2 linked regions of the Caenorhabditis elegans genome follow. The protein of the gene in region 2 interacts with the protein of the main gene of each other region in a pairwise test. Each region holds a gene or a part of one and is shown on either strand. Other genes may lie near its edges.

Evidence for each region.
Region 1: the proteins of T04F8.7 (region 2) and F49E2.2 interact in a two-hybrid assay, tested with the Caenorhabditis elegans proteins (one large-scale study listed by BioGRID).

The regions. Positions count from the first base shown.
Region 1 is NC_003284.9:9,563,006-9,577,153, reverse strand, and holds F49E2.2 (SH3 domain-containing protein), read right to left. Parts: upstream 9,859-14,148; coding exon 9,726-9,858; intron 8,372-9,725; exon of another isoform or gene 8,247-8,371; intron 8,119-8,246; exon of another isoform or gene 8,098-8,118; intron 7,776-8,097; coding exon 7,644-7,775; intron 7,604-7,643; coding exon 7,553-7,603; intron 6,917-7,552; coding exon 6,765-6,916; intron 6,713-6,764; coding exon 6,474-6,712; intron 6,391-6,473; coding exon 6,207-6,390; intron 6,165-6,206; coding exon 6,018-6,164; intron 5,075-6,017; coding exon 4,907-5,074; intron 4,836-4,906; coding exon 4,698-4,835; intron 4,648-4,697; coding exon 4,553-4,647; intron 4,509-4,552; coding exon 4,316-4,508; intron 3,808-4,315; coding exon 3,709-3,807; downstream 1-3,708. Other genes in the region: glb-17 (Globin domain-containing protein), read left to right, coding at 1,288-1,370, 2,223-2,361, 2,578-2,850, 2,899-2,995, 3,046-3,110; moc-5 (GTP 3',8-cyclase), read left to right, coding at 11,175-11,339, 11,446-11,710, 11,768-11,871, 12,079-12,198, 12,256-12,594, 13,670-13,790, 13,833-13,901, 13,946-14,065 and 1 more.
Region 2 is NC_003284.9:11,673,656-11,685,363, forward strand, and holds T04F8.7 (SH3 domain-containing protein), read right to left. Parts: upstream 7,326-11,708; 5' UTR 7,243-7,325; coding exon 6,922-7,242; intron 6,603-6,921; exon of another isoform or gene 6,559-6,602; coding exon 6,417-6,558; intron 6,007-6,416; coding exon 5,853-6,006; intron 5,585-5,852; coding exon 5,495-5,584; intron 4,242-5,494; coding exon 4,109-4,241; intron 4,037-4,108; coding exon 3,950-4,036; 3' UTR 3,852-3,949; downstream 1-3,851. Other genes in the region: T04F8.9 (uncharacterized protein), read left to right, coding at 806-929, 981-1,139, 2,498-2,651, 2,701-3,048, 3,282-3,346, 3,398-3,417; hnd-1 (Hand transcription factor 1), read left to right, coding at 11,072-11,214, 11,272-11,386, 11,521-11,708.

The sequences.
Region 1 (14,148 bases), 2.1 Mb from region 2:
TTGTGCTTGACATTGTGTTTCTCATTATTTTTGGAATTAAATGCTGTAATCCACGCAGTCCACGAACCCCGCCTATTCACAAATGCAATCCCACCTTTCTTCATTTTTAAGTCATTTTCATCAGACACCACAGCTTCTTCATTATCATCATCTTCCTCGTATTCTTCTTTTACTTCTCTATTCTTCTTCCCGTTTCGTTCTTCGCGCTAGTCAGTTGTCACAAAATTTCAATTAAGTGTGAGTTTTCAATCGCCCTTATAGGAGGGTAGATTCTTTTTTTCCATTGTTTCTTTATGGGTGACACTCTATTCTGGATTTCACTCAATGAAATTGAGTTACTTTTTCAATCTTTTCAAGGTTTTTGATGCATTCCATTATTTTAAATGTTTGAAAGTCGAAAGGTTAGGTTCATTGTTCACTTTTTACTAGCAGACGAGCCCAATTCTAAAAATTAATTATTAAAACAGTTTTGAAGATACATTATTGCTCTAAATTTTGAATATGTTTAATTTGTGCTCTTTGAAAACTTTAAAATTAATTGCTGAACGTTTTCTTAACGAAAAATCTGAAATTTGTTGGCTATTATGAACTCTCAGTGCTCTTATTCAAATCATATCCAAATTCAAACATCCACCTTAAAAATATTTTCAATATCTTCATTTGAATCACTCCGTGACAACTATTAATATTTTATGGACTCTTAAAAAACGAGGAATGGGTTTTTTAATGTTTAAAGAAAACTTAGATGTACATGAAACTTTTATTCAAGATTTTTGATTTCTTTATCTTTGCTTAAACTTCAATCTTTGTTTGTGTGTGTTGCAACAGGTTACTTTTTTGTGATTGTCTGGAGCAGTTTCTGGTGCTGAACCTGCAAAAAAAAAGTGAAATAAAAAAAATCAAATTTTTTGGACATTGAGACATTTCAGACTTAAACATTTTTTACTTCATCACTTATTCCACCTCCGGCAATTAAAAAGCGAATTTATTATGACATCGATCTATAGGAAAATTTGAAAAACGGGAAATGACAAATGAACGTGGTGTTGGATGTACCTGGAATAGTTGGGCTCCTCTCTACCTTTACCCCCGACCTCTTCTAACTTCACTCCCTCATCTCAATATGAATTATTCATCAGGAGGTTGGATGAGACGCCTTGATATTCTCCACTGCTCATCTTGCCGATAATCATGACATTTCCGTTCTTTTTCATTAATATATTCTACCTACAAAAGCTTTGAGAATTGTCACGATTGATTATTTACTTCAGGTGCAAGAAATTCAAAATGGGATTGTGCAGCAGCAAGAAACGAATGACAACAGAAATCACCGATGAAGAAGTGACAGCAATTCGAGACGTTTGGAGGCGGTAAGTTGATGATAATCATTGGCAAGACCATTAAGCGTAGAACTCTGCAACCACATATTAGATTTTGTATTATTTTCTGATTAAAAATAATTATTTCTCGATACATTGCTAAACAGTAATTTCTCTGTTATTCATTTCAAAGAACCTAATTTCCAGTTTTGTATCGCATTCGATATTACTTTTTGAAATAAATGTTTTTTAAGGTAACAAGATAGTGAAAGCAAACTTGTAAAAAATACGGTTGTTGGTGTGTAAGTCGTACGGTATTTAATTGCCATACACGGTATTAAATCTGCCTTGTCGTTATTTTTGCTGATTTCGTTCTTCCTTTGTGCGCAAATATAAAACCGTATAACATATTTTTCAGTTTGAAAATGAAACCTTTGAAAACTTTTTTTCAAAGTTTTAAAAAATAACAGTTTTTATTTGTTAGCTCACTTCGTTACATAAGTTTACTCCAGTTGAACAAAAGGTGAACAGGCTTACATGTGTTTTCTTCTGTTTCAAAAAATCTGTGAACACAAATTAACATTTATTTTAAAAAAATTTCATTAGCAGCTATTATAATAAGTTTGAAAATTCGTTTTGGCAAGTAAAATTAATATCTTTTTTTTAGCTCAAAACAACTGCCAATTACATGTGAAAAAAATTGAACTAATATGTATTTTTGTTTACTCCTCATAGACCAGACCTAATTTAATGCCAGAAATCATCTAAAAATGATACAAGCAAAATGAATTCGATTATGCGAGCATCACGCGTTACGTCTTCGGCTTGCTTCCACATGTATTAGATTTTGATCGATGTCCATTAACCCATGAATAATTGCTTTTTGAATTCAAAGTTTTGCAGCGCGAAAACCGACAACGTTGGAAAGAAGATTCTGCAGACGCTCATTGAAAAACGTCCAAAGTTTGCTGAGTATTTCGGTATTCAGAGTGAAAGTCTTGATATTCGTGCTTTGAATCAAAGCAAGGAATTTCATTTACAGGTGAGGATGTTTAAATTTAGATTTTGAATAGAAGTTACCTGTCAACTCAAAAAAAATTCCGTGTTACTCCAAACATTTAAAGAGTTTGAAATTATCAGATTGAAGACATTATCATAGTTTTGTACCAAAAAATTAATAATCAACAAATACAAGAAAATAAACATTTAAAGTTGCTTTGATAATACAAGTATCTCTTAAAAAATAGGAGATTTCCAGGCGCACCGTATCCAGAACTTCCTTGACACGGCAGTCGGATCTCTCGGTTTTTGTCCAATTTCCAGTGTTTTTGACATGGCACATCGTATTGGACAAATTCATTTCTACAGAGGAGTCAATTTTGGAGCAGATAACTGGCTTGTCTTCAAAAAAGTAACAGTTGATCAAGTAACAACCGGAACAACGGATAGCTCCAAAGAAAAGGAGGATACTAATAGCAATGGAACTGCAAATGGAAAAGTGGATACTGATGCAAGTCTTATCCCGGTAGGAGTTAAGGATTCCAACATTACTGCACAATTCTAAACTTATATTCTTAAGATTGCTGATATTAATAATGTATACAGCGGAGAAAATTGCTTGGCTCGTCTGGGATGGAACAAGTTAATGACTGTCATTGTCCGTGAAATGAAGAGAGGTATAGATTTCGACACTAACTCTTATTATACAAGTAACAGCATTTTTCAGGATTCTTGGAAGAAGCAATGCGTAACTGCAAAGAAGAGGATAATAATGGCCTTCTAAGTGCTTGAATTTCTTTTCCTTTTTTATTCCAACCGTAATTCTAAACACGTGTGCTGCGTTTTTTAATATATAATTTCTACACCTCTAGTATTGATGATAGATCAACAAAAATCTAAAAAGTTTCCAAACAATATTAAATCATTACGAATTTATTCAAGATTATTTTTGATTCCAATAAGTTTTGCTGCTTTTTCTCTAAAACTGTAATCATGCCACCTTGATTTCGTTCTGATTATGGCAGAGAATCTTTTTTTGCTGAAGTTGCTTTTTTATCAGGTTGCCCAATTCTTCCCAAACACTCTCTAATTAAGAATTACACCAACATTCATGACTTTAATCATTAAATTCATTAAATGTTACCATACAATAATATTTTTTGCTTTACCATGTGTTTTAATTACTTATTTACTGTGAATAAAATATTGATAAAAACTGGACCACTGGGATAAGAATGAATTATTTAAAAACTGGGGAAATAAATCAAGGAATTACAGGAAATCACAAAATAGTTATTTGCAAAAATAGGCGTTCTGGTGAAAATATGGGAAGATAAGTCACAGACAAAACGAGAAATGACAAGAATGTTGTTTTTTTGTAATTGAAAGTTTATGGGTTGACATATGGCTCAGGAACCCATCCTGTTCGGTTAGAAATCGAATCTCTGACAAACACCCATCCACGAGATCCGCATTTTAAGAGGATTACCTGAAATTAATCAGATGTGATAAAATTGTGGAGGTGACTAATGCATGTTTCAAAATATCTAACAAAGAACAACATCAACATAGTTTTCAACTACACTATGTTTTGCAAGTATTCTCTAATTCAATACTAAATATTACAAAGAGCCTGTTAGACAAATGTTCAGTAAGGACTTGTTTGAATGTAAAAACGAATTCCATAAATTAAATATCTCGAACCAATGCTAAGATTTTTTTGATAAAAAATTAATAACCTTAAATTGATTTTGATTAAAAAAAACATTCATGAAACTCTACTCATGTAGGCTTTCAAATCCTATAATAGTGTCAAATTAAAATATTGATACAGGCAAATGTTACCACTTTTTTAGGGCACCGGTCTGTTGTTAGAAATTTTATCGGTTTGCCGTTTTGCTTGAAAGTTTTATATTCTTTTTGTTTTCTTCTTGACGTCACAAAAAGTAACAAGTTTTAGTTTAATTTTTCAAAATTATTTAGAAAGTTTTTGGTACCTTGTCTCCACGATTCACAGTCATCTGTTCTCCGGAAGAAGCATTGAAATCATCGTTAACAATCAGAATACTTCCATATTGTGATGGGTTGAAGAATGATGGAACCGAAATATCTGTACTATGATTGCGACTGTGTTGTTGTGCTTGGTGAGATGGAGCAGCCATTGGAAGGTAACTAGAATCCACGTGGAATCTGAATATGTCGTTCTTTTTTTCAAATTTCTTGTGAGTACTCACTTTTTAGCATTCATTTGCTCCTCTGTCACTGGATTATCGACGACTCTCCCAACGCGAATATAATCGCTGGTAACAACTTGATAAGGCGTGCTATTCTGAAGGATTATCACACTTGAAAATTGAAAATTACACGAATAGTTTTTACCTGAACAGGCGTGTAGCGGACATTTGGCTGAGGATTTGATTGATTTGCAAATCCGAAAACATTAACAGCACCTGGAATTGTGTTTCCAGCACGGCGGACACCACCTGGAGCGCTATTAACCGGCTGTTGAGGCACTTGCTGGAAACGCATAGTTTTATCAAAATGGACAAATAATAGCGAGTGAAAAGATGATTACACCAGATGCTTACCTCGGCGACAACATTATGACGAGGGGCGTATGTGCTCTCCTCCTGGCGTGTGACTGGAACTGGTTGAGCGCGAATCGGAGCATATTGGGGGTTTTCGACAACTGGTTTTGGCGGCAAGACTGGTGGAGCAATGTGGGAGTAGCTGTTGTTGGGTGGAAGTTGTTGAATCTGAAATTAATACGGCAATTAAATTTTTCTTCGAAATAAACCAGTTGCATTTACTGTTTGTAAAAACCAATGCATGGTATTTTAATTCGGGGCACGTTGTGAATACATAATAAGAATATGAAATGTTTTTACTGCAGTTCAAATCTTTGATAAAAACTTTATGTGAAAGATTAAATAAAATATAGTAATGTTATGTGAGGTAATTTTGAGTCAAATAGAGCAACTATTCATACGTCGCTATTCTACCATTAAACAAACACGTGAAGTTGTTACGAAAAAATTTTGATAATTATGTAACACGTGAAAATAGTTGTTCTTCAGTCAGCCTTTTAAAATTCGCGTAACATTTCTAAAACGTGATAGAAAGATTGCCAAGATTTCAAAACCAAAGTGAAAACTCAATAAAATCTAATTGACAAAACGATGCTAATATTTCTTTTTTCGATTAAAGACTTTTGCTTCGATGTTTACAAACATTTTTGAATTCTATTGTTAAATTTTGAAAACACTGTGTTGCTGATTGAAAGTTCATGCAGGCTTAACTATGAATAAATAAACTGATTTTAATCTAAATTAAAATTCAAAATGTTGCGTTTTTTATTGATTTTTATCCTAGATAATTTAATAGCACATGCGGACATTATACAAACATTAAAAAATAGTGTTATTGCAGATGCGAATTTTTCAAAATAGGAGAAATTTTGAATACCTCCTTGCTTCAACAGTTCAAATTTTAAGTATCCTACAACTAGTCCGATGGCTTACACATAGTAATAAACTTTGAAAATGTGAGTGTTCTTTTTTTTTAATACAAAATGAAACGTATGTATTATAAGTTTTATGTACGTGATTTAATGTAACTATGACCTATTGTTTATACACAATATTGACTTATAACAACTTTGAAACATTTCTTCACATGACATATTAGTCCTCAACTAACCTCAATTGATTGACGGCGATAATTACTAACCAGTGTGACTCCGGAAACGTCATTTGTGAGACGACGAGAAGATGGAAGATCCTCTAGCGTTGTTGCAACCGATGAAGTCGAATTGCTGCGGCTGTCCTGTACAGCTTCATCTACTTTCTGAAATTTAATATGATATACACGCATTAAATTGTGTTTTACCTTTTCAACATTCTCTTTAATTTCCTCAGCTGCAACAACGGCGGCATGCTCATGTAAATCTTGATGCCAATCTTTGTGGTCTTCTGGTATGGTCTCAATTTCAACCGGTGCAGCGATCACACTCCCAACTGCTGGCTGAACAATCACTTCTTGGGCTTGGAATAATTTCCCAATTTCGACGTATCTGATAATATTTTATGAGAGTTTTTTTTTCCAGAAATTGAATTAATGTTGCTATTTTCACAATTCTAATTACATTTAACTCACCCGTGAATCCAGGATTGCAGCTTGTCATTGAAAAATTTGTATCTCATTTCCTGTTGTTTTGCCCAGCTGGCTGCTTCTTTTTTATGGAACGCGGTAATATCTTGTTCAGTTTCTCCATTTTTGCGTTTCAGAAGTTTTTTTTCTTTTGCTTTGTACTCAGCAAATTCTGTCTTCAGCTTGTCTTTTTCCTTGTTGCTATAGTCATGAACTTTGTGTGCCAGCGCGTCAAATTCCGTAATCTATGTTTAATTATATATTGAATGCGAAACTTTTCTTTAGATTGATGCTTACGACTTTTTGATGAGCATTTACTCCCTGTACAAACTCTTTAAAAACTTTTGAAAGCTCTCGAGCTTCATTTTTCGATTTGTGTCCAGCAGTATCAGCTGATTTGATAAGTTTGTGAGTGGCATCACAATAGTTTGACAATGCTTCTTGGAACACTGAAAATTGCAAATTTTTATATACTCTTGTCATCTTGAAAACTTGATGTGATTATTGAAAAGCTATTTTTCTTGACCTACATTGATATGGATTGCAAACGAAAATGTTTCAATTTCCACTCTCACAAAAAATATAGTTTTTGTCATTGAATTTTTAGGCACAAACTATGAAAATATAAAACTCGAGTTCTATGAATGCGTCTTTCAACTACACATGTTTTCATGTGTTGCGATACAAACTGAATTGAGTTATAAACAAATTATTAACACAGAAATGGGATGAGCTGAGTATATTTTATTCACATTATTGAGCCATTGTTACAAACCGTCCCGACCATGATAACTATAATACTTTCAACGTATATTTGCCAACTTTTTGCAGTAACGTTTTCTAATTTTTTTTACTTCTCATCTCTTACAATATTAAGAAACCATGAGATCATGAGAGTGCCTACCGTTTTGGCGCGGGAATATCTCGTAGCGAAGGAACCTATATCTTTCTTCGCCGATTGTTTTCCCTGTTGCCGCTATTTTCGAGCCACAATTTAGGCATTCTCAGGTTTTTTAAAATACAACAAAAGCATAGAAAGAATACTGTGTAAGAGAACTTATTGTTTTCTGATCAAAAATACTTACTGTAATATGTTTTCAGTAGATGCATTCCGGCTTGCCCAAGATTTTTTGCCGCTGAAATTTTGTTGTGTATGTTAACCTAAACAAGAGGTACCTGGCAAAAACTGTGCGGCTAGCTGATCGTGGACCATCTGTGGAATGTTGGCAGCCATTGAAGGCGAAACCTCCGGTGGTACCGCTTGTTCGTCGACCGACATCGGGATGATTGGTGGATACCGATGAGAGACTGAAAACCAACTTTTTGCAAACTGTTTGACATTCAATTTTCATAAGTAATGCACTACTTTTGCGGGAAAAGTTTTATAATATTTTATGGGCAGGGTTGGTCTGTTGTAGATAACGCTTTTGCCATCCGAGAAACTTTCTTTATTGATATTGTTAATTGCTAAAGGCATGCGACACTAAATATTATAAAAAATATACAACTAAACAAGTTATAGAACTTAAAAAAACCCTAAGACGGTGAACCTAAATCAATAAAACACAAATATCTATATTTTTTGAAGAAATAGTGTTATAAAGTCATTTTGTTTGCCAACATTCCTGAATTCCACTTTCCATCATAACGATTATGGTTATCACCGCAACATGTGTCATAAGAAAGGAATGAAACAAAAAATATTTCATTTTTGGAGTAAAATAATGGCCATTATGCCGGCAAAACGCCTAAAACAGTGTACACTCTATAAGAAAATGAGGCGAGCGTACAACCAAGTTCATGAAACGACGCAGTGCGGCAGGCACCTATTGAAAAAGCGTTGTGCAAGTGATAAGAGCCCCGACTTTGGTATGCTGCGTGCGTTTGATTATGTACATTACCCGGGCATCGGCGCCAAGCGGCGAGAAACCTGGCAGATTGGGAGAGTGTGAAACAAAACCAAAAATCGCCGCCTACTTTAAGTTTTTGTGCCATTCTGAAGCGACTATTCTGATTGTGTGAAGAAATACTGTTGACATTTTGACACTATCAATTTTAAGAGCGTGACAACAGAGAATGGTGACATCTGACAAAAAAAAATGACAAGCCGTATGCAACTTTTTGAACAACATTTGAATAATTTGAAATTAAATAATATAAAAATATAAAAAACGCATCGTTTAAGCTTGTAAAGAAACCTGATAGTGAGTGTTATTAGTAAAACATTGAACTCTAGTTTGTTTTAATTGTTTCAATTCTGAACACTGACCCGTGAAGTAAAATAAAATTTGTTTAGAATTAAATAAAGCTATGAATAAAGTACAGGACAACTTTAATTATTGTGCTACAAAAGTTGATCGGCATCTTTACAAGTAACTCGTTTTGTAATTTATTCAAAATTTAGAGAAGTAGTCAAAACTCAAAACTTATTTTAAACCATAAAAAATTATTGATTTAATATACCGCAATTTAAATTACATTGTCATACCAATGTTGTTAATAAGTGAGTAAATAATGATTTTTTGAACATGTATGTTCAAAATTTGCGTTATACATGTGAAACATCAAAGACAGTAGAAATATGTTGAGCATCTTGCTCAATCAAAATAAGTGTATCATTGTTAGGAAAATGTAACTAAACAAAAAATACCACTAGCACAGTTAAGTTAAGTTGCTTATGAAATTAATTCACAAGTAAAAGCTACAATACATACACATTATCACTTAAAAAATCGTGTTTATTGATTTGCCTAGTTTTGTCTTACAGGGACACCTACATTCGGGCATCCCCACATGATTTCCAACATTTCCAACTCCAATTCCAACAATATATTAAATTTCTAGGTAGTGTTCAGAAGACGAGAACTTATATAATGTTACGAACACCTCAAAATGAAAGTTATATTTTCACATGCTTCTCAGAGATATTTGAAAATATAAATTGAGCTGCAAATTATAAAGCTTTAAAATGTAACTTTTTGAAACTAATACTTACATTTTATTCTATGAAAATATTAATGTTGCATTTAAGTTCAGTATTTCCCTCGATACAAACAAAAGTTGACCAACCTTTTAACATGTGGCGAAGTTTTTTGGCACAAAGAGACGCGCGACACAACTGACAAGCATGACTAATGTCTAAGTTTTCTATTCCGTTCGTCTTCTCCCTCCAAAAAAACACGTCGTAACTATCCGGCTAACAAAACGTATGTATCCCGAGGTCGTTTGCCAATCACTCGGACGTATAACCATACTTACCAATCTTGATACTCTTGAAACGATGATTGAGAACATATTTGTGACCGTTAATTTCAAGAGTTTGAGCTGGTAAAGGGGATGGCTGTGGTGGAATGCGAGATTGGTAGTAAAACTCGTCAGTTGCAGATTCCATTGGAGTTTATCAATATTTCGATGAAAACCAGGACAAACAGAACAAAAGAATGGAATGGGATGGGAATGAGGGAGGCAGATTGGAACATTCCGTATTTATTTTTTGCAATTTTATTATTGAATGGATTTTGATAACATGATTTTTTTGTGTTTGTATGAGTCACTTAAATTGATTGAATATTTTTACCCCAAAAATCCTCACCTCTCCATCTCCATAGTTTCATCCCAATCAGCGAAGATCGTCGAGCGCCCAGATTGAAGATGCCAGCTGTAACAATTTTTTTTACGTTGTATCAAGTGCCCTTTTCACATCGCTCTCTCTGTCTCAAATAGTCTATGCTTTATTATACAATGTACAAATTACAGGGGTCACCAAAAGAGTTAAAAAGACACGTCAGAAAGAAAGACAGAGAGAAATAGAGATGTTTGGAAGATGGGACACTTGGAGGACGTGACAACTTTAAAAAAAGGGGTTTATGAGTACACTATATTTTTGGGACACGGTATTTAACTTACTCATAATGGCAACACTCCTTCTGATTTAGAAACTATGAGGAAATGATAGTCAAGAGCACACAAATGTTCTGAAATATATTCGCTTGTTTATCTTTTGACAAACAATGTTGTTGTCTCTTCCAGAAATATTGTGTTTCTAGCGTCAGAATCATATTGATTAAAAGATAATGATAAAACCTCGATTTATTTTCACGAACCATTTGAAAATCAGACATTGATAACTTGCATCAGAAATTAATAACTTGCATCAGAAATTAATTAAGGTGGAGTAGCGACAGTAAGAAAATTGTTAAAAATTATCCATAAAATGCCAAAATGATCAAATAGAATAGTAACACTTTTCAACAGCTGGAATAAAAATTTTTTATTGACATTCAAAAGTTACTGAGTTTTTCAAATCGTTAGACCGAATCATGATATTTCATTTTCATTAAAAATACATTTCCTGATATATAAAGTCCAAAATTCCTGAGCCTCTATCCCTCTTTTTCTTTTTGTTCTCTGCAACACGTTCGTTTTCTCCTTCGTCGACACAAAAATCACTTTTCGGAATTGAATTGCAAATCACCAATGCAGAGTAGAGTGCCCATCAACCTGTATGATGACAAAACATTCCCGTTGTTCCGTTTTGCATTTTCTATGGTTTCAACGCCCACGATTTATGTTTGAGCGTGAGAGCCACAATGTGCTGCTTGGAGTTTACTTTACACCTTTTCTCTAGGTTTTGTTTTTTTTCTCAATTCCTAATCAATAAATTAATCGCACCGCATTTTTAAAAGTGTTTTGATATAAATATTACAGATGAGTTGTCGAGCAGGAAAAAAGTTATTTCAATGGTCACGGGTCAAGTCGTCAACAGAAGAAATTGTAAAACAACTAACTGTTCCATTACGAGAACATGCCGAACCAATACTCACGTTGACGCCCGAACAAAAAAGAGAAGCAGTCAGACTAAAAATTCAAGAGGTATTCTTAAACATATTGTGCAAATGAGCTTCAGAAATCAGAGAAAGAGATAAGAAAATATAAGAAAATTCTGAAAGTTCACTTGTCGTTCATCGTTCAATTTCAGATTGAACACACAAAAGGCCAGCCACCATTTTTTGACATGTTTATGAGAGAGCACACTTATTTGAGGATATCGCTAACGGAAAAATGCAACTTCCGTTGTCTTTACTGCATGCCAGCCGAAGGTGTTCCTCTCAAGCCCAAAGACAAAATGCTCTCAAACAGTGAAGTATTAAGACTTGTAAAGTTATTCGCTGCACATGGCGTTGACAAAGTTAGACTGACAGGAGGTGAACCGACTATTAGAAAGGATATTGTGCATATTGTTGGTGAGTTTATTGTAGAAATATGACTTCAGTGGAGAAACATGGCATATTCAATTACAGAAGGGATCTCATCTACTCCAGGAATCAAAGAAGTTGGTATAACTACAAATGGTCTTGTTTTGCAGAGATTTTTACCACAGTTGAGAGATGCCGGATTGACAAAAGTAAACATGTTTTTCAATCAGAATTGGGAAATTATTGAGACATTTGTGCTTTTTGTTTTCATGTTTGCCTAAAAAGTTTATCGATTCATTTCCACAATATTACTTGTGGAAGCAAATCAAATAATCATATCCAATCCTCTTTTTGCTTTTCAAAACACTTTTGAAATTTCAACAAAAACTTAATTTCTAAAAGTTAAATAAATTTAGATAAACATCAGTATTGATTCCCTTGATCGTGAAAAATTTGCCAAAATGACAAGACGTGACGGATTTGATAAAGTTTGGAAAGCAATTGAATTAGCGAGAGGTTACTACCCAAAAGTTAAAGTGAGTCGAGTCTCAATTTCTGAGCATTGTCAATTAAATATCCATAATTTTTTTCAGTTAAACGTAGTTGTTCTTAAACACCAAAACGAGAACGAAGTTGTTGATTTTGTTAATCTTACTAAAGATCGTAACCTAGACGTCCGTTTCATAGAGTTCATGCCTTTTGGGGGTAATGAGTTCAAAAATGACAATTTCATTGGCTATCGAGAGATGCTTAATTTAATTGTTGATAAATACGGAGATGGTGTAATACGGTTATCCGACTCACCGAATGACACAACCAAAGCGTATAAGATTGATGGATTCCAAGGACAATTTGGGTTTATCACCTCGATGTCAGATCACTTTTGTAACACTTGCAATAGGCTGAGAATAACAGCTGATGGAAATTTGAAAGTAAGTAGTTGAAAAATGTAAAGTTTGAAAATTACCGGAAGAACATTAATGTATTATTAAGTTTTATAAACATGTTGATTTCTAGTGACTTCCTCTTTTCATTTCATAAATCTTATTTTGATTTTATCTTTCTGGGAGGAAATATCTACGGAAACCTCTCACATGACATCATGCATCCTTATAATAGCTCATTCGTCGTCCTTCGTGGCACTTCCAAGGACGCAATTGATTTCGCTCTTTTTTTGTATTTATTCCTTTCTCATCATATTGCATTCTTATTCTTTGCCAGTAATAAACTCATCTTTCGAAAATCTAAGTGAATGTTGGGTGTCCGAGAGAGAAAGAGAGACGAAATGTAATGTATAACATAAGATTTTGTGCGAAGCGATCCTTTCCGTTCGTCATCGCCTTGCCTCCTCCACCTGGCCTCATTTGCGCCCAGCCGCCGCTCTGCACAAGTTGTGCTCTCTGCTCTTCTCCTTTGTATTTCGTCTCGTTCCCTAACATTCAGGTTCCTTTTTTCTTTTCAACTCGTTGTTAACACCTTTAATACTTGTTTTCAAGTTATATAAAGCTTGCATTCAATCTTTAGTCTATAGGAAGTTACGAGGTGTCGTTGAGGTATTTATTTTCAATTAATAATGTCTATTAATAAAAAGTTGTATTTTTCATTTTGGAGAATTTCAGATAAAAGTGCAAAACTTTGCGAGTATTTCTCACTTGTACCATCATAATCATTTTTATGAAAGACCTCCTGAAATAATGCGTTAATAAAATTGATTAAAAAAATATATTAATTAAAACAGTAGGCTTTAAAACATGCATAAATGTTCTAAATTTATCACAAAACCTTAATGCTTCGAAAAATTGGAACATCAAAAAACATTGAATAAGAATATGGAAAAACCTTGAATATTTCAGAGTGCATAAACTAAAATTTTCACTGACATTTCCCGCTATTATGCATAATCTCAGCCCGCAAATAGAAAATGTTCATTCAACAACATACCCGATTGTGTCCTTCCTTCACATTTGTGTTTGAATTTGAATTTTGGTTAATTTCAATTAATTTAAGGTATGCCTCCATGGAAATTCCGAAGTAAGTCTACGTGATAGAATTCGTTGTGGCGACTCTGACGAACAGCTTTCCGAGGTCATTCAAAAAGCCGTTAACAACAAAAAAGCTAGACATGCCGGTAAGTAGCCCATCAAACTGTTTGAGTAGGAAAAAAATACAGTTTTCAGGAATGGACGCTCTGAAGAACCTGCCAAATCGTCCAATGATTCTTATCGGGGGCTAACTCCTGGTATTAATTTGGTACCTGTTTTTCGAATCTCATTTTTATTACAGTAACATCCGCATCTTCTATACTTGTTCACTTACCATCTAGTTCGCTTTATCATAGTCACTTGCATTCTTCTCGTCACTTTTTTATTTCTCAAATTCGATGTTTCTCGACAACCTACTCAGGTAAGTTTTTGCAAAATTTTGAAGCCGGTGAAATAGTTTCGGTTCAGTGTCTTCAATTACTCATTTGCTCACTCATGTGGACA
Region 2 (11,708 bases):
CTTCTACATTTTGTTTCCATTCTGAGCTAGATGTTGAGAATGCATTTTTATATTTTTCATAATTTTTGAGCTTAAGAAGAGATGCCAACGTAAAAATAGTTGTAAAACACGATAAATGTTCTGTTTTGTTTTTACGTGTTTTAATTTCAATCTTCTTCCTGGAGATTCATGCAAAAAGTCTGATTCTATCCGAAAAAAGTGTGATATGAATTGCCCAAGTTGTAAATATGTCATGGACTGGAACCAGGTTTATACTTTTTTTTAGCCATCAAGAAAAAATTTAGCCTGAGTCTAGTTGTGTTTTGCAAAGATGATAAGGTGACAAATTGGGTATAAATAAGTGAACATTTTTATAGGTTTGCTATAAGAAACGTCTTAATATATTTTTGACCAATTTTGAATTTTTTTGCAAGAGTAATTTGATTTGAAAATGCACAGTTCAAATAAGACTTCGGCTCTTCTTTCGCTTTTTTCCTTTTCCTAAAATATTTTATTCAATTTTCTAAATTTGAAAAAGCCAACCAGTCAGCTCTTGAAACTGATGGCTAGTCTCCGTGGATACCGTAGCTCGCAAGGATTTATGACCCATCTCCTTCAGATTCGTGCCTCTGTCTTCCTCTACTCGCATTCATCTATTTTTTTGCTTTTTGTTTCCCGATCTCTAGTCCCCGTTCTCGATTTATTCCACACACTCCTCCACAAATCTACTATTTTTGCCACGTCTCAATGCGCGCCCACTTCAGAGCTTAGCAGTCAATTGGCAAACCTTTCATTTCAACATTTAGATTGAGTAAAATCCTCAGCCATGGCATCATTTCAACCATCAACTCGAATTGTCACTTTGATCATTGTGATTTTGGCAGCACTGACCTGCACACTGTTCAGTCTCGTATGTTTAGGACATGATGCGACGATTGCTGCATTGACAGGTAAGATACAATATATTGTTGCCTTAAACGGTCAACTGAGTTGGTTTAAAGTTTCAGTGACTGCGATTGTTCTTTCTGGTATTGGAATAATCATGCTCACTTTTTTCATTACTGACAAAAAACCGTGTCAATCTGATGTGGTACTCAACACAGTTCGTTCAAATTTTCAACACGATCTTCAACTCACTGATCGCCCACCTCTTCCTCCTTGTAAGTGGTATCTCTAAAATTTTTTGTTGAAGTACAAGTGCAGACTGCGTTATAAGATTTAAAAATTCAATTTTACCAGCAACGGGTGAATATGATAAATCTTTTCTTAAAAAAGAGAGGAGAAACTTGACGTTAATTAGAGGGTTCCTTTGCATTTTTCTCTGTCTTCTTGGCTTTTCCATGCGGAAATGCACACTATAATCGGGCTACGAGAATCGGCGGATGAGTGATTGTGAAATTGCACAGTAGAACGACAGACAGTAATTCCATCTTTTATGCCACAATACACATACACTTCAACATCTGTCTTTTTTCTCGCCGCACAAAGCGTTTTGCTGTTCAAAGAAGGGAGCGCACGTCTGTCGGGTTTCTGTCGCCGTGCTGGTGAGTGGCGTAACATTTGAAATTCTGAACATTGTAGGAGTTAATAGAAGTAACATTAGTTAACGCATTAATACAATTATTTTAAAAATACTTCAAAAATAACGTCAATTTTGAATGATGTATTGAAGATAAGTAAAGCATTGTTTGAACATTCGCAATGATTAAATATAAATAAATTTGGTCCTTATGTAGCAGCCGTATCCCAAAAATTAAATTTCCTTCAATTTATAATTGTAATATATTATAACTTAAATAGTTTTATAACGTAAATAGAACAAAAATGGTAACTTTTTTTGAACCTGCTATTTGTTCAAACTTAGCACCAGATAAGTAAATTCCAATATTTTCCGCTCTGATGCTACACCATCTTTAGTTTAAAATTTTAATATACATATGATCTTTCTTTATTTTGAAGCTTTATACCCTGAAGAAGGAAATATGGTGACAAATCTATTAATTCTAATCCGCATATAGACAGTATTCATTTATTTATCCACAATATTCAGTGCCCCACATGGATAGGGTCACACCAAGTGGCAACATTTCATGTTGGCATCTGTTCCCATAAATACCGTACACTATCTATTTACATGGGTGCCCATCTTCTTGCGCGTACAGGGGGCCTCCGGTCTCCCGACCTTGACAGAATGAACGACATCTGCTCACATCATTGGCTATATAATGATTACTTCTTCTCATCTCACGCCCTCCAGGCATTATAGCAGAGCACAAGTGTTTGCTTGGAAGACACCAAGAATAAAACAATGGCCATCTTGCACCCAAACCTGACACCCGTCTGTTACTCTTGGCAATTACTCCGGTTTACCACGGAGGTTTAATAAGTGAACTAAGTGGATTAATTAGATTTTGTTTTATTATAAGAATAAAATGGTGACAGGCTGGGGATATGGTATGGAAAATAATACTACTAGCAAAAACAAGAGGATCTTATGTCAATGTGGTTAACATTTCAGATCTACCAGAAACACCAACATTTATTCCACCTTTTCCAATTCCTCCACCCCAAATCATAATGGAGAGCACAAACATTTTGATTCAACCACCATCAGTGAATAACCCTCCATCTTATGATGAAAGCGCTGATATTGAAGACCGCAGAATCACTGAGTAAGTTATTTAGCAAAATTTTCTAAAATGCATAATAATTAAATTTCAGTAATTCAAATGCTCCTCCTGCCTACAATCCTACAAATTTTGTATCGGACAACAACATTGCAAGCTTTTCCCCTCCACCGTACTACAGTCCCCCAAGTCCTTTTTTTGGAACCTCAGTGCAAACCAGCACGATGTATCTCTCCGCAGAAGATATGTCTGAATCCCCTACTCCAACTTCACCCATTCACCGTATTTACATTCGTGCTCCTTCGCCGGTCAGACGACACCCGGCTAGAAAACCCAGACGTCAGTCACCTCGTGTTCCAAAACCACAAGAAACTGTAATAGTCATGGAGCAAGATAATTCTGAAGCATCTACAAGTACATCTGTTCCCAAAACACCAACACGGTAAATGATTTTTAAGTTTGAAACATGGTTTATTTAAAAAAAAAATTAAAACATATGACAGATCTTGAAAATATTAAAACTATTCAACATCGCGTTTTGTAGTTTGTCGTATTTCAATTTCAAATTGTAAATGTTTCTAGGTTTTGATGACCAAGTTTTCTAAAATATTGATTTTTTTAAGCTCAGCTTTGAAATTATTGTTAATAATTTACTAAAATGAAGAAAAGTTTCAGAACGCCACTGCCTCAAATGTTCATCGATTGCTCAAAAGCGGAACCAGCTCTTTTCACAATAAATGGTGAAGAGTCTATCATCTGAATTCCATTTATTCCAAATATCCACGTTTTAGGCGGATTATGGGACAACTGAAACATCGCTTTACTATCTTCCTTCAATCAAAAAAAACTCATCTTCCAAATTTCCAAAAGCATCTCAAACAATTGATCTCAGTTCTGTAGTATTTGTTTGTAAAAATCGTATTTATCAATTTTTATTTTAACGCCTAATTTCTTGTAGTTTAAGTTATCAATATCATTTGACTTGGTAGAAGCAAATAACTTTTTGTTTGAAAATCAACAGAAAACGTAAGCATAATTTAACCTCAATGATTATTTTGCTATTTTTTTAAATCAATTTATTTTAATTAATCGAAGTATTTATTTAACTTATATTTGTTGAGTACCACCAAGTTGTACATTTCCACCTTTGCTCCCGTGAAAAATTATAGTTTCTGCTGCTTCCTATGTCTTCCCGATTCCCACCAACCCCGTTACAGCAATTGCTGAATTCGTAAATAATGTTGATAAAGTTATGACATTTGTTTATTGAACTTTGATGGGAAATCAGAACAAAAATCATTCAAACACACATGAAAAAAAAACGCAATTTGTAACAGAGAGGTTTACAATTCAAAAACTGAAGAAGGTATCCATCCGATAGTATTATCCGATTTACGGCACAGTGCAAACTCTCGTTCCATGTAGAGAATCTGTAACAAATTGTTATCATTAGGGCACACTCTTTGTTAAGGTTTTAAGGCTCTTAAGAAAACAAAACGGACATCAACTTGCTCCATGGCTCGGATGCTGACATCAACGTCTCGGTGTTTTTCGTAGTTATGGCGAGCACGAGCACTCACTGAACGGAAATATGGTTCGGGCTCTGGTTGTTCCTCAATCCGAAATATGTCGCGGCTGTAAATTTTGGTCAGGATTGAATGTGTGTTGATAACTGACTGCATATACTTCTGACACCCTTCAGTAATTATATATTTAAATTGAATCCACTTTTTCGCATTTAAAAGTCCGAAGTTCTCTTCACAATTAAAAAACGACAGTTTGCGGCAAATTTCGTCATACCACAATCTACAACATCTACAAATTTTACAGGCAGGTAATAAAATGCCAAATTTTTAAACTTTGATAATGTTTTAGCAGAACGTGATTATCTTACTATCTTGAGCAAAAAAATATTCAATACTTATCAGACCACCCTTTTATGTATTGGAATTAGAGAAACATCAAAAAATGAATCAAGAAGATTCCTTATTATAATATTGATGTGAGAATAGTTCAGCTACTTCCAACAACGCAACTTCACATGAATTTTTTCTGGCAACTTATTGAATTTATAAATGTTCCGTGTATATTTCGTTAAGCAAAAATTCAGATATATGTATTTGATTTAACTTTTTCTAATACAAAAGTTTCTTATTTATTCAATAGATGTGGGTGAAAATGTTGAAAAACAACTTCGAACCACCTGTCAAGATTCTAAATAAATTTTTAAGGCAGATGAAGTTAACTCAGTTGGTAAGAAAATTTGTTTCAATAGAGTTTTGAAATATAAATAAATTTTTAATCACAAAATTGACAGTACATATATAAAACTAATATTCGATTTGAAAAGTCATGTTTAGCCAAAAACTTTGATAAATTATGAGTTTTTATATGCCAGTTTTTGAATTTTAATTGGATATCTCATTATAATTTTTATCATACAATAAAGTCCGGCATTATAGCTAGTAGGGTTTTTACTCAGTATTTGGCAAAGGTGTTTTTAATAATTTATATAACAGCTGCCAAAAACTTGCAAAAAATATCTGAGATTACTGAACAAAAATGAAGTTTCAGATATTTGTAAACTATTTAGAAAACTTATCAGAAACATCTTGGTGATACCGTACTTGACAATTTATGTACATAAATCTATGCTGGGTTACACAATACCACAATTTCAGTGAAAGTAATAAAATAATACGAAACTTTCGGGAATTTTTTACCTTTTAGAGAAATTTGGAGTAATGCCACATTGCATGTTCAAACCTTTACAATGTTCAGATTTTTGAAGTTAAAAACAAATGTCAGAATATTGCAATGTCGGATATTTTCATAAATATTTATTTGCACTCTTTCTTTTTAGATAAACTAAACTTCCACAAACTTACACATCTCCTCTTTTCTTTCCACTACCCGAACTTGAGTGTTGATTTGCTACGTGATGTCCAGCATATTGTGGTTTTTCCCAGGAATGATGTCTGAAAGAATAAACAGGAAGTGATGAGCAAGCAATCGGAATTTTGCATTGTTTCCTTATGTGATTAGAGGTGTTGGAGGTGGCCGCTGACAAAAGTCGACATTTGTTTTTTTTTTTCCTTCCGCCAGGCGGCATGATTACAAAACGTGAAAACGCGAAACATGATAGTTCCTGCTGTGTTAGGTCAATCAAAATTCCGTTGGAGATTAACCACATGATTATTCAGACAAGTTTCGTCTAGTCATGAGTAACATGCTCTTAACACGTACCCAGAGTCTTGTTTTTCTGCTTCTAGTTGTTTCTTCATAATTTGGCAAATTTCACAATCATCGATTCCACGGTCACCGCGGAGAGTGTCAAACTTTTTGTGATTTTCTAAATGACGGAGGTATGCTCTGTTTTGATCGGTTGCTACTGGTGCTGCTGAAAAATAAACTTTCGCTTGTTTGTTGTCTGATCAAATGATTGACTGGTGATTAATTATCAGTTTGAATGACTGTTGGTTTTGCTGAACCACAGAAGTTGTCAACAACTGTAAGAACGAAGAGTGATACTGACCTGAATTCACGAAAATGTCAATTAGGCGCTAGTTAGGCAAAATATGAGTTTTTCACTCTACCAAAATGTTAAAGCACAGATGTTTGGTAGACGTAGAGAAAAGTTCAGACGCCAGACTGACGGCAACGACTTATCAGCAATTCCACTATTTTACGGCCACTCAAACAAGGCATTTTCCAAAGAAAAAAAAAAGGAATTTTTGGATCGAGCAAACTCCACCGTCTTTTATCTAAGTATGCAATAAAAGTTTATGGTCCTGGAACCAAAATACATACCTGCTAGTTCAAGACTTGAAATTGGAAGTATCGCTGAAGCGATTCCCGGAAGCACTGGTACACCAATCTGCTTAATGTGCTCTTTTGTGGAAATGTGTCGTTCTTCCTCATTTCGGTCCTCCATATATGAATGTTGCTTGATCTAAATGTGAACAGTTAGAAGAATACAAAAGTTAGCGAATTGTTCCAGAAATGTAAATAGGAAAGATGACATTTGAAAAAGCAAGCTAAGACGTCAACAAGTCATTGAGCATGTTTTTGTGAGACAGCAGGTGTTCTACAGTCAATAAACCAAGCTCTAAAAATAGTACGCTGCTAGTGAGTCTCCAAAACTTTTTTGAAAAGTAAAATAAAATCTAGGAATTTTCTAGTGGTCATTGAAAATTTGTTATTTGTTAACTTTAAATATTTTTTAGACTAGAACTCAAATAACATTTTTCTTTTTCTTTCAAAACTTCAGTAAATTAGCAATCAAAACCAATTTGCAAATTTGTATAAATCTCACCTCGGGATAGTTATAATTTTCATCAGGAAGCTTTGAAATCGATTGACGATCTGAATTAGTGGGCCTTCGGGAACTTTGCTCTTTTACCAGTGCTGGTGGTGGAACCTCAATTGGAATATAAATAGGAGGTAGCTCGTAGAATTCAGGTGCATTTTGTGGTGCAAACTCTGTTCCAATATTATTCAGAGATGGTCTGTTTTTCTGTTTTTGATTTTTCAGAGTATAATCTGGGGTTGGAATATATGGGTTTCTAGCAGGTACGTATTTTTGTTGTCTGACGGTAAAGTCATAATCAGGAACGGGGACGTGATAGCGTGACATGGTCAAATTGTAAGACTGTCAAATGAAATGAACAAAGCAATGGGGCGCCGAGTTTCGTTTTTTAATGTGCTCTCTACCGTCTCTCGTCCTCTTTCTTCTGTTTCCGTGCCTGTTTGCTCTTGTTTCAGGGGCGCGTCCAACGTTTTCTCGTTTCTCCTACATCATACTGTTATCTATCATGTGCCCTTGCAAGATGACTGAATTTTTGCGATGGGTGTGAAGAAAATGAGGGAATGCGAGCTCATCATCGATGATGAACTTGATTTCATTATTCATTATTTGTAAGGTAAATGTCAAGACTTTAAAAATAATCAGTAAACTGACGACGAGACAATTTCAGAGAAATTCGGTTCAACAATTTCGTAATTTAAAAGTGACGTAATTTTTGAAAGGGGAAAACTTGAATGAGAACGATGAAATTAAGTTTGACATGTAAATGGACCTTTGTGAAATTTTTTTGAGTATCTTCCTGATCAACCTAATTTAGACTCGTAAAACCTATATTAAAGTGGTTTTTCTTGAAACCACCGTTTTCGATTGGTTTCTCAACAGATTATTAATTTTTGATATAAAAATCATCTATTTTCTGAGTTTTAAATATTTTTGTTCAGATTTTTTTAAAACAAATTTAAAAATCTTATTTATAAATATTTGGGATCAAACTCGTTATCAAGGATGTAACATGGATTAGAACACAAATATCCACAAATATCTGTCTGGAATTTAAATTGTAATACTCACTGACTGACGAAAGATTATGATTTACAAAAACTTTAAGTTTAAGACGCTCATAAACAAATAGTTATGTGATTAACACATCACAGTGAAAAAATACTGTACCCATGAACGAGTGGTGAAATGAGGCACAAAACTAAAATTACTAATACTTTCGACAATTCAACGAGAACCATCAAAGTCTCAGTCCGTCACCAACTATGGTAATTTTCAGCAGCCTTTGGAAAAGGGAAGATTGATTATGTGAAACTTTTCAAGATGTTGATTGTATAAATGGATTTTTTAAAAATTTATATTTTTTTGCAGCGGCTTTATGATAATGTTATTCTGAAGCTCTAGTTTGTGGACAAGATGCCCACAACTCTCGTTGTTCCTAATTTACCATATTATAAGAAATAGGAACAAATGTCGGCACCTACAAAACAGATTAACACTCCGGTGAACGATATGCCAATTATTGTAATCCAGATCATAATAGATTCAATGTTTACATTTTTGACGATGAGTAGAGGCACATGTTCCACAACTTTGCCGCAACAAGAATCATGACGTAATCAGATGTTATTTGGACGTATCCTTAATTGGATAATACCGTTTGTCTGTGTTGTTTTGCCGGCGGTTAAGCAAACAGTTGAACAAATTCTATGGGAAACAAAATAATTAAAACTGGCAGCTTACCAAAAAACTATACTAGAAATAATTATGTTAAATACGCTCGCAAGTTAGTTTTGAACAGTAGTGCTGCAAAATTAGGTCGGTGCTCGACCTCTGAATAGCTTAATTTTAAGCAGATCGCCTCAAAAATTGTTCAAAAATTTACATCTATGCTCAACAAAAATTTCAATTTTGCTGGCTTGTAAGTGGAACGGTGGTCGGAAATCAGAAATTTAATGTACTTTGTCTGCTCATTATATTACTGCGATACTAACAAATAAAAAAACCATATTGTAAAACTTTCAAGATCTCATGTATGCCTTAATTTTCATTAAAATCGTATAAATATTCACCCTTACATGAGAACTATCATAAAATATCTCTAACTTTAGTGTTTTATTCATTGTCAAAAATATTTAACCACATCATTTTGATGTATTTTCCATTTTCTCATGTTTTTGCTCTCACAAGATTAGTTGAGCAAACAAACACATCCTTGTCGAGAGGTGTTCTGAGTCTCATGAACTAATAAATCCTCCTCACCGGATAGTATTACCTGACACATTGCCAGACGGTTGCGTTTTACAACTACAAACGTAAAGTTTATGAGAGTTCCTTGAGCCTGGAGTCTTGAGCAATTGGTTCCCCCTCTCAGTTTTTGCTATAATTCAAAAGCGACTCAAACAAGTATTTGAATGTTTATTGACTGCTGTTATTCCGCCGTTTAATGATCAATACTAGCGGCAAATTTACGACCTGGTTGTAAACTTGATACACTGTTTGAAGATTTCCCAGGAGTCGAAGCGGATTTCTTTCAGTCATCCTAACGGGGCTAGATTTGAATGCAATCAACAGGTGCCGAGTAGCATATGACGGTTTATATTGCACCGTACTTGAAGTAGCGCGCGATGAGAGGGAAAAGGTTGCGCTCGTTTTGACGGCAGAGTTACGCAAAATACCGACTGACTGGAATTTGAGGCAAAAAGTTGTGCTATGGAAATTGAGTAGTGTAAACTGATAAAACCTTGCATAAATGTGATTAGTTTATATTAGATGATTTACTCGGTGTAACCGTATGTGAAATGTGAAATTGAAAGGAAAAACTGTACATATAGGTTTTTTTCCCCCAAAAAACGTTTTTGAAACATTTTTAACACTGAATATATCTACTTTTACTTCAGGATTTAGAAAATAACATAACTATGCCTAAAATTCCAAATAAACCACGTTACATTTCAAAAACTGCAAAAACTTTTTGATGTGAACGAAACCCATAAGTACCAAACATTCCATACAGGAACACCTTTCAAACCAGACTTGGATGCCTTTCTAGGTAGTTTTCATGGATTTTTCTTAGTACTGTTTTTTTTTTGAAAAGATTGCATAAGAAATACTTAGTACATATATTCCAAATTCGTGGGAAATTTTTAAGATAGAGACACCTACACAGATTGATTTCCAGTTTCATTATAAGGCGTTTTCTCTACTTAGCAAGATGTCAGAAAACAATGCTTGCTTTTATCAAATATAAATGTAGATAAGCATTTTTTGAAATAATGGAACACAATCAACAAATATTCACAACTAAATCCCTTAATTTCTGTGCATCAATAATGCCAATGTCTCTACCGTATGATATCAATTGGCTCACTCTGTAATCTAAACAAAGTGTAATTGAGTCCGGCACGGGTTTGTCGGCATCTTTTCGAAGAGGGGTGATTGCGCGAAAGCCGTGCGTCGGGATGCCCAGACAGGGCGGCAAGCGGCTAGTTTTTGATGGCGGGGGATGGTCCGGATGGGAACTCGTATACCGAGAATTCATAAACATTTGTAGACTGTATCTGAACTGTGATTTACTGTGTTGATACTAGTGGATTCTTTAGAAAAGTATCTTAAACTCAAAAAAAAACTTTCTTATAGTCATATTAACTTATGTAGCAATAGTATTTGAATAAATTTTATGACGTCAGATAATAAGTTTCAATAAACATCGCAGCACTAATTGTAAGTGAATAATCCTGTTACTTTATTTGAGAATATAAAAATTATACTTATATTTTTGCCTCAAACTCTGATGCCATGCATATTTCACGGATAACCCATATTAAAAAGTCAAATATCGGAAGTCTATTTTTTTGAACATTTTTGGATAACCATGTACATATACACATCATCAATTTTACAACCCCTTGCCATTCCAGTTTTACAGCCTGTCTTTATACAAAAAATCTCCACCTCAACATAAGTATAATGTCAACAACAAAAACATATTCCAGGCCGGATAGTAGTCTACACAGATCCTCCCACCATCGTGAACCTTTCCTGCCCGCATCTATCCTCCCTTGCGGGGTCTGTCTTCTTGCTCCGCCCACCCGTACCCATCTTGCGTACCTCATTCCTCCGATTCAAGTCAGTGATATATCGCTAGCTCATCTACAAAATGGTCAAATCAACAACTGCTGGAAACAATGCGGTTTCTTCATTAGAATCCACTGATTCCAAGAAGTCAAGAAAGGAAAAGTCTCGCGAGAAGGAGCATCGTCGTGCTCAATGTATCAACTCGGCCTTTGAGATTCTTCAGCAGTAAGTTGTTAACATTTCTTTTCCCTAAACAAATAGCTAACTTAATCTTATTTTCAGACATATTCCATACCTCAAATCGGAAGAGAGAAAGTCGCTGCCAAAGATCAAAACGCTTCGTCTTGCCATGCAGTACATTGATCATTTGAAAAAATTGCTGGGAGGAAATGAGATGGTATGTCGAATCATAATGTTTGTAACTGTAGTAATACTTTTTCGTACCATCAGTCAAAATGATCGTGTTTTGAATTATCTACTGTTTCAAATATCAAATTTCTTCAAATTCCTAACTCTTGTACGTTTTTTCAGCTCGAAACCGATTGCAACGAATCTCGCCCACTCACTCACTCAGATTTCCGTGTCAATATCTCGAATGAGATTAGAATTCGGAACAGTTACCGAGAGAGAGCCCACAATCAGGAGTTGGATGAAGCAACTGTGAAGAGAATTTTGGCTCGCGAAGATCAACGCCGTCGCTGCAGCTCAGTTCCGGAGGG